Linked DNA regions of Oryctolagus cuniculus. The protein of the gene in region 1 interacts with the protein of each later gene in a biochemical or structural test. Links are inferred from orthologs where the notes say so. Each region holds a gene or a part of one and is shown in the gene's direction. Other genes may lie near its edges.

Region 1 (3,819 bases):
TTCTGATCGTTTGGGCCCTAGTTATTCCCATTGAATGCAATGTCCAGTGAGTTAGGTTTTTAATTTAGTTTTGCCTTTTTTCTTTTTTTTTTTTTTGTGATGAACTCATGGAATTTAGTGATCAATGTGAATATGTTTGTGTTTATTATTTTTCATGCCCAAATTGTTCCTTTTCACCTTTTAAATGTTCTGTCTTCAAGGTTACATGTATTCTTTCTTCCATCTACAGGCACCAGACCTGCACTTCCCATTACCCACCTGCCTGCCTAACTGTCCCAAAACACACAGCATGCATGACTTCACATCTTTCAATTGATCTCACTTTGATGTTCTTTTCCTCTTTTTGAACCACCAATTAGCAGCATTTCTGTATACCCTCTATCCCAATCCAGAAATCTGGACATCATTCTTGATTTCATCCTCACTCTTGTATATCCAGGTACTCTCCAAATCCTATCCAGAACTGTTTCAGTGTTCTAGCCCTTCTTCCTCATTGTACTGCTAACTGCTCAGGCCATGGTGACCTCTTACCCAAACCACCTAACCTTCCAGATTGCTCTCAACAACCATGGAATTACCTTCTTGAAAATCAGTTTGGTGATGTTAGTCCCCTGTTTCAAGACTTCTGCTACATTCCTGTTACTTAATATAGTAGTGTTTCCCCAGTTTTGTTCAGCAGAACCCTAAATTCTACGAAGTGTTAATAAGTGTTGTCTAAAAAAGAGGTACTGCAAGCACATGTTTAGAAAATACATTTTTGGGGGGGGTCTGCTTTTTTTGGCCTTTTATATGCAGCATATTTTATTTCCTGTCTACAACAAGGATTAGAATAGATAACAGTCTATAAATTGATAAGCTCATGAAATATTTATCTAGAAGGATTAATGTTATTCAGTAAAATTTTAGAAAGTGCTGGCCAAGTAAATAAATGTTCAATTTCAACTTTTGCATTATATTTAAATCCTGTCATGATCTCTCATGTTAAATTAGATAACCCCTATCACCCCCTGACACTTTTGCCGCATTTTTCTCTGAATTTGTCTCTCATTGTACTAGAGCTATCTATATCCACCTTCCCCTGACCACGGGAATCATCCTAAGCACTAAGTAGTGTAGGAGCACAGAAACAGCTCACTGAATAATAAGTGAATCCATTTCTGAAATAGGAACCTTCAGCAGCTCTGTTATTATTGTCATACTTACAGGATCCTTGGTTTCTTTAATTTGTAGGTTAGGAAAAGAGTAAAATTATATATTGCAGCTAAAAGAGGCCTTCAAGCTCATCCAGGCCACTGGTTTTCAGACTGTGTGTCAGAGTCTCAAATGTCCCACAAACCCTTCTCCCACCAGTTGCCCTTCCCTCAGGAACTACGAAAGGAAATAGGAAGGGGAATGAGAAGATGAAGCACATGTTCTCTTACGAGCTGTAAATATTGGATTGCTTAAATTCCCTTTAGAAAGGGGTTCCAAGGCTACAGCTTGGGAGCCATTAGCATAGCATCCAGTCCCCTTATGAAGCAGTGGCTACAGGCCAAAAAGGATTGACTTTCCAAAGGTCACAAAGTTCTTAATAATAGAACTAAGAGCTAAGACTCAGATGATCTTACTTTCACAGTAGTGCTCTTTGCAGAAAGCTGAAAAATGAAAAAGTTCATTAGATTATGGACTGAAATAGTGTGCTCAAACAAAAGCCTGTACAGGAATATTCATAGCAGCTTTATTCATGATAGCCCAAAACCAGACACAATCCAGATATCCTTCAATAGGCAGATTTCTGAATAAACTGTGATACTTGCATAGAAGAGCCGGTATGTGTGTGATGAAATGGCTTAGAACTTGGGGCCAGCATTGTGATACCATGAGCTGAGCCACTACCTGTGACACCAGCAATCCATATGAGCACAGATATGATGAGTCCTGGCTGCTCCACTTCCAATCCAGCTCCCTGCCAATGTGCCTGGGAAGACCATGGAAGATGGCCCAAATACTTGGGCCCCTGCCACCCAAGTGGGAGACGAGAAATTCTGGGCTCCTGGCTTTGGCTTGGCCCAGCCTGCCATTGCAGCCATTTGGGTAATGAAGGGTGATGGAGGATCAATCTCTATCTCTCCCTCTCTCTGTAGCTGCCTTCAAATAAATAAATCTTTTTTTTAAAAATGGCTTAGAACTAAATACATACACGCAAATGGCAAATACAACTGGGGCTATCTACAGGTATCTCAGAAGATTTAATTCAAAGCATTTAAAAATAAAAATACATACACCTCCAAAAAATGAAACTTTGTTATATGGATTTGTTATTTAGAGCCAAACTTGGGATGCCACAGTTTTTGAGTCCTGAAGCCCAGAGTCTTTTACGAATGCTTTTCAAACGAAATCCAGCCAACAGATTAGGTAAAAATTTTAATTAATTTTTTCTTTCATGTTTTGATTTTTTTTGTTGAGGGGTGGGTGATAGATATTTGTTTTTGTGATGAGATTGTTAAATGTTCAAACAAGTAGTAAAACTCTGTGCAGTGTTTTCACATACATTTATCCTTGAAATAAAAATTCCCAATCAATTTTTGATAGGCGCAGGACCAGATGGAGTTGAAGAGATTAAGAGACATTCATTTTTCTCAACAATAGACTGGAATGTAAGTATGGAATGGAACTTTGCTTGAAATATTTTTATAATTAACACATGTCTAAGTCTCTCTTTTCTCTCCAGAAACTATATAGGAGAGAAATTCATCCACCTTTTAAACCTGCAACTGGTAGGCCTGAAGATACATTCTATTTTGATCCTGAATTTACTGCAAAAACTCCCAAAGGTAAAGAGAAAACATGAAAACCCAAATATAAGACAATGAATACATGTTTGTCTTGTTGATCAGAAAATGTTTTCCAAGATCACTAGGCATATTTGAAATGCTCAGTATTGACATGTGTATAGTGGCTACCATATTGGACAGCACAGATAAAGACAATTTCCTTCATTCTAGGAAGTTTGATGGGATAGGGTTAATGTTTGAATACCATTAACCCAGTAACAATATTTATTATATTCCTCAAATGAATTGGCTGTTTTCTAGTCCCTGAGGGAGCGAAGTTAGAATTGTTGTGGCAATAAGTGATCAGATCATATCCAATACAGTACTGAGATATCCTGGACTGCAGTCGGTATATAATTACCTTTCAAAGGAATCTTCATAAAATTTTTTGCTCTTTTCAGATTCACCTGGCATTCCACCTAGTGCTAATGCACACCAGCTCTTTCGGGGGTTTAGTTTTGTTGCTATTACCTCAGACGATGAAAGCCAAGCAATGCAGACAGTTGGTGTACATTCAATTGTTCAGGTGAGTGCGTGTCTAATAATTTTAAATTTTAAATGTTATGAGGTACAGTTCATTGTATAAATATATTTCATGAGCTGGACAGCTTAAAATACACTTTGTATCAATATTACTCTTTTTTAAAAAAATATTTATTTATTTATTTGAAAGTCAGAGTTACAAAGAGGAAGAGAGAGAAAGGTCTTCCATCCTTTGGTTCACTCTCCAGATGGCCGCAATGGCCAGAGCTGCACTAATCCAAAGCCAGGAGCTTCTTCCGGGTCTCCCATGCAGGGGCAGGGGCCGAAGGACTTGGGCCATTTTGCACTCCTCTTCTAGGCCATTGCAGAGAGCTAGATCGGAAGTGGAGCAGCCAGGACTCAAACCGGCACACCCATGTGGGATGTTGGGACTGCAGGCGGCAGTTTTATCCACTATGCCACAGCTCCGGCCCCTAATATTACTCTTAGAAATTCCTTTCATATGTCATTGATAAGGTTACAT
Region 2 (3,819 bases), on another chromosome or scaffold:
CCCCTTTCCCCAGCATCATCAGTCTGCTCCACCTTTGTCAGGGCTCCTCCTGGAGTCAGCTTGGAAGGAAGGGGAGGAAGGAAATGGGGGAAGGAAGGTGTGAGGAAGCAGTGAGCAGAGCACAGAATGAGCTGGGAGGGAAGGGGACTGACTTCCTGCAGCTCTAGCTCCGGTTCCCGGTCCCTGCCCTGGTATCCTGTCCTGAGAATGGCCTCCGCCCAGTCTGCCTGGTGTTTTCTGGGCAGCCCTCTGTGCTGCTTCAGAGATCAGGGTGGCTTTTCAGAGCTGGGGAGGCAGAAGGCTTCCTCACAGGCCCTGAAGTCTTCTGAATCTCTGGTGAGGAGCGTGACATGGAGGCTGGGGGAGCCAAGTTCTGCCAAGTCCCACCATGGCCAGCCCAGTCCAGGGACAGTAGTTGATCCGTGAGACTTGAGAGCCAGGGAAGGATATTCCACCTGTCCATATCCCCAAAATTCCCCCTAAACTCTTCTGCTCTTATCCCTGCTACCACACCCAGGCCTGGACAAATGGAATCTCTCCAGAGAAGGAAGTAACCAGAATGCTTTTCCTTGCTCCCTCAGGGGGCCCTATTTCTATCCTTTCTGTCCCTTCTTACTCACCACTCCCCATACCCCTCCCATCCAGTGGTGTTATTGTCCTGATGACTGCGGGGGGGGGGGGGGGGCATCCAGAACTGACGTTGCTATAGTAACAGCTGAGCTGAGGCTGCAGCCTTCTTGCTGCGGACTCTGTGTGCTCCCTCTCTTCATCCCCTCGCTCTGCCCCCCAACCCCCCCCCCCCAAGTATTTGCAGCCTCAGTCTCTACCTCTCTCAACCCCAGCTCCCTTCCTCCATTCTGTAGGCTCTGCCCGCATCCCTCTGGATGTAAGCCTATGGTTATATACCTTCTTACACATACTCTCCTCTGGTTCACACACAAACACATCCCACGTACACTCACAGCCACACATGCAGTGCCGACACATACGCCTCCCTTAACCAGAACATCCAAACACACCCACAGCCTCCTCCCTGCTCCTGGACCCACACCCGGGGATCAGCACCCATACATGGGATCCTGGCACACAGTTCTCCCCTGCCACTTTTAACATTTCCACTCCCCACCTCTCTTGGGGACCTCCTTGTACCTGCCTCACTCTTAGAAAGCTCTTACCTACTGCCCCCAGCCTTTGTGGGTAGGTGTGTTACACACACTGATCCCTTCCCGCCCACCTCCCTTGTAGATCTTTTAGATTCAGAGCCCTACATTTTAACTCCTCCCAAGAGATTCTCACATACACACACACACACACACTCTCTCTCACTCTCTCCTCCCACAGGATCTCTCATATTTACAAACTCCTCTTCCATGTGAGAAGAGAGCAGTGTGACCCTAAATTCTGCCCTTTCTTTCTAGACAGCTTAGTCCCTGCGTCTCCTCCACCAGGGCAGGGTCTTCTTGTTGCCTTCCCATGCCACCCTTTCTCTTTCAGCTCTCTCTATCCCCCAGCCTGATAGGCATTGCTAGACCCCTTTCCCTACCCCCCTCCCTTACAACCCCTTTTTCTGCTCTCGGATTATCAGGAGGGGGGTTGGGCTCCAGCGCCTGCCGCTGTGACCTAGATTTCAAGGCGGAGATGGTTCCTGGTGCTGACAGTCAGAGAGCATTGTTCCTGGCCCGGCCTGGCAGGGCAGGGCCACCGCTGGGCCCTTCTGTCTGGCTGCACCTGGGTGTGCAAGTGAGCGTGCCTATGACTGCCTGTTTCTTGTGAGGGTTTTGCCAGCCCTGCTGTCTAGCTTATTGTCTGTTTGTGTTACGGTGCCTGCCACCAAGGGAGGTTTGTTTATTCTGGTCCAGGCAGGGGGCTGGGAATGGGGACTTCTGGGTCCACACCTCTTATTGTGTGATAGCCATGCCTCTCTGCCTCTGTTCTCCTGCAAGTAGAGGCTAGAATGATGAAAATGAGGGGGGTTGGGGGGCTATCAACCAGCCCACTTTGATCTGCCACCTTCCCAGCCCAATGCTGGGATGATTTGTGGGCAGCTTCAGTGTGGTAAGGTCATTTACCTTGTACCTACCCCTTGGTCTAGCCACGGACTGTTTGTGGCATGGTCTGATTTTTTTAATGCTTTATTTTCTAATTATAAAAGAAATATATACTAACTGGAGACATTAAGGCCCTTTTTGAGTTTGCTACTAGTTTTATATTTTATCAAATCCAGAAAGTTCACTCTGGGGTCCACCCTTCTTCCTGTTTTAGCTACAGTTCCTAAAAGGAAGGTTGAATGTTCTGTACTTTCTCACCTAGGATCAAGAAAGAGGGATAGAGTAAAGGCCTAGATGAGCTCTGGCCTTGTCTAGCCCCCCTCTGGGAGGTCATGCTGAAGGTAGTGCCAGGAGGATGTTGTTGCAAGAAGGGGTAGCAACCCCTTCCTGCCAGACTCCCAAAGCCACATCTAAACTCCCCTCCCCCTGCCACCAGCCATCCTGGGAACTGGGCAGGGGGCCAGAGCCAGCCGCTTGGTATTCTTGGGCGCGGGGGCTGCAGGCACAGCACAAAGACTAGGAGAGAGCGCTGAGTGGGGGGACTCAGTAACCGTCAAGGCAGAAAATGAACTGCATAAAGGTGGGGGTGGCCCTTTGCTTCTCTCCGCTGCCCTGGCCCTAATGACTGAATACAAGGCTAAGCATGGGAGGGTCCAAGAACTGTCAGACCAGGCAATGAGGCATCCATCCAAAATGAGTCATTAGTGGGGTGGTGGGGAGTTGAAGTGAGGGACCCCTTTGCTTCTGGGAAAGAATGAGAACACATGAGCTTCAACCAAACCTTCCAGCTCCCTTCCAGCCCCTCACTGCCACAGCAAGCTTCTCACTAGTCCTTGTTTTTGAATGTTTTGGCTTTCTTTTCTGATGAGGGGGAGGGGTTGCAAGTGGGTGGGGCGATTCTGGGGGGGGGGCTTGGAGACAGCAGCGAGAAAGTCGGGAGCAGGCTGCCATGGTAACCGCCTCCTCAGTCAGGGGAGCAGTTGCCAGGGTTACTGTTAGAGGGGGAAATAGAAGAAAAAGATGGTGGAGGAAAAGAGGTATGACTTGTCACTCTAGATTTCAGCCTGGCTCCTAGCTTCTAAGTTTCTTCCTGCTACTCCCACCACCTCCCCTCCAGCCCCATTCCCCCTCTACCTCCTGTTCTAGGCACATGCCTGGTCTCTACTGGAAAGTGGGGAGTACAAGGGAGTGAACCAAACCCTGTACCTTAAGCTCAGCCTCCTCTGTTCCCTTTCTTGTCTCCCAACCCCAGTCATGGCCGAGTACGGGACGCTCCTCCAGGACCTGACCAACAACATCACCCTTGAAGATCTGGAACAGCTCAAATCAGCCTGCAAGGAGGACATCCCCAGTGAGAAGAGTGAGGAGATCACTACTGGCAGTGCCTGGTTTAGCTTCCTGGAGAGTCACAACAAGCTGGACAAAGGTGGGGGAGGGGGGCACACAGGGCCAGTCATCAGCAAGTCAGGCTCCATTCATTCAGCATACAGAGAAGAACTCAAAGTTATCGACACAAGGCATACCACTTCATGACAAGGCAGAATAACAGATGCTCAAAGACAGTAAAAGGGGCTCTAGAGCAGTGGTCTTTAGACATTTTTCATTATGCCTCTTGTCAGTAAGAAAAAATGTTATTCAGATACTCTGTGGCTATTATCACATATATATCATGGAACATAAAAGTGAAAAGTAGTAAAATCTAAAAGAAAACCACATTACTAACATTTTCTTACGCACTTTTAGAGACTACTACTGTAGGGGGAGGTCTGTG

What was found.
Region 2: the proteins of RPS6KA3 (region 1) and PEA15 form a complex in vitro, tested with the Homo sapiens proteins (2 studies listed by BioGRID). The link is inferred for Oryctolagus cuniculus from reciprocal best matches to the Homo sapiens genes RPS6KA3 and PEA15.

Annotation. Positions count from the first base shown.
Region 1 is NC_091453.1:6,234,378-6,238,196, reverse strand, and holds part of RPS6KA3 (ribosomal protein S6 kinase alpha-3), read left to right. Parts: intron 1-2,305; coding exon 2,306-2,394; intron 2,395-2,571; coding exon 2,572-2,636; intron 2,637-2,710; coding exon 2,711-2,813; intron 2,814-3,214; coding exon 3,215-3,339; intron 3,340-3,819. UniProt on the Homo sapiens protein: Serine/threonine-protein kinase that acts downstream of ERK (MAPK1/ERK2 and MAPK3/ERK1) signaling and mediates mitogenic and stress-induced activation of the transcription factors CREB1, ETV1/ER81 and NR4A1/NUR77, regulates translation through RPS6 and EIF4B phosphorylation, and mediates cellular proliferation, survival, and differentiation by modulating mTOR signaling and repressing pro-apoptotic function of BAD and DAPK1.
Region 2 is NC_091438.1:38,715,889-38,719,707, reverse strand, and holds part of PEA15 (astrocytic phosphoprotein PEA-15), read left to right. Parts: intron 1-3,300; 5' UTR 3,301-3,302; coding exon 3,303-3,474; intron 3,475-3,819. UniProt on the Homo sapiens protein: Blocks Ras-mediated inhibition of integrin activation and modulates the ERK MAP kinase cascade. Inhibits RPS6KA3 activities by retaining it in the cytoplasm. Inhibits both TNFRSF6- and TNFRSF1A-mediated CASP8 activity and apoptosis.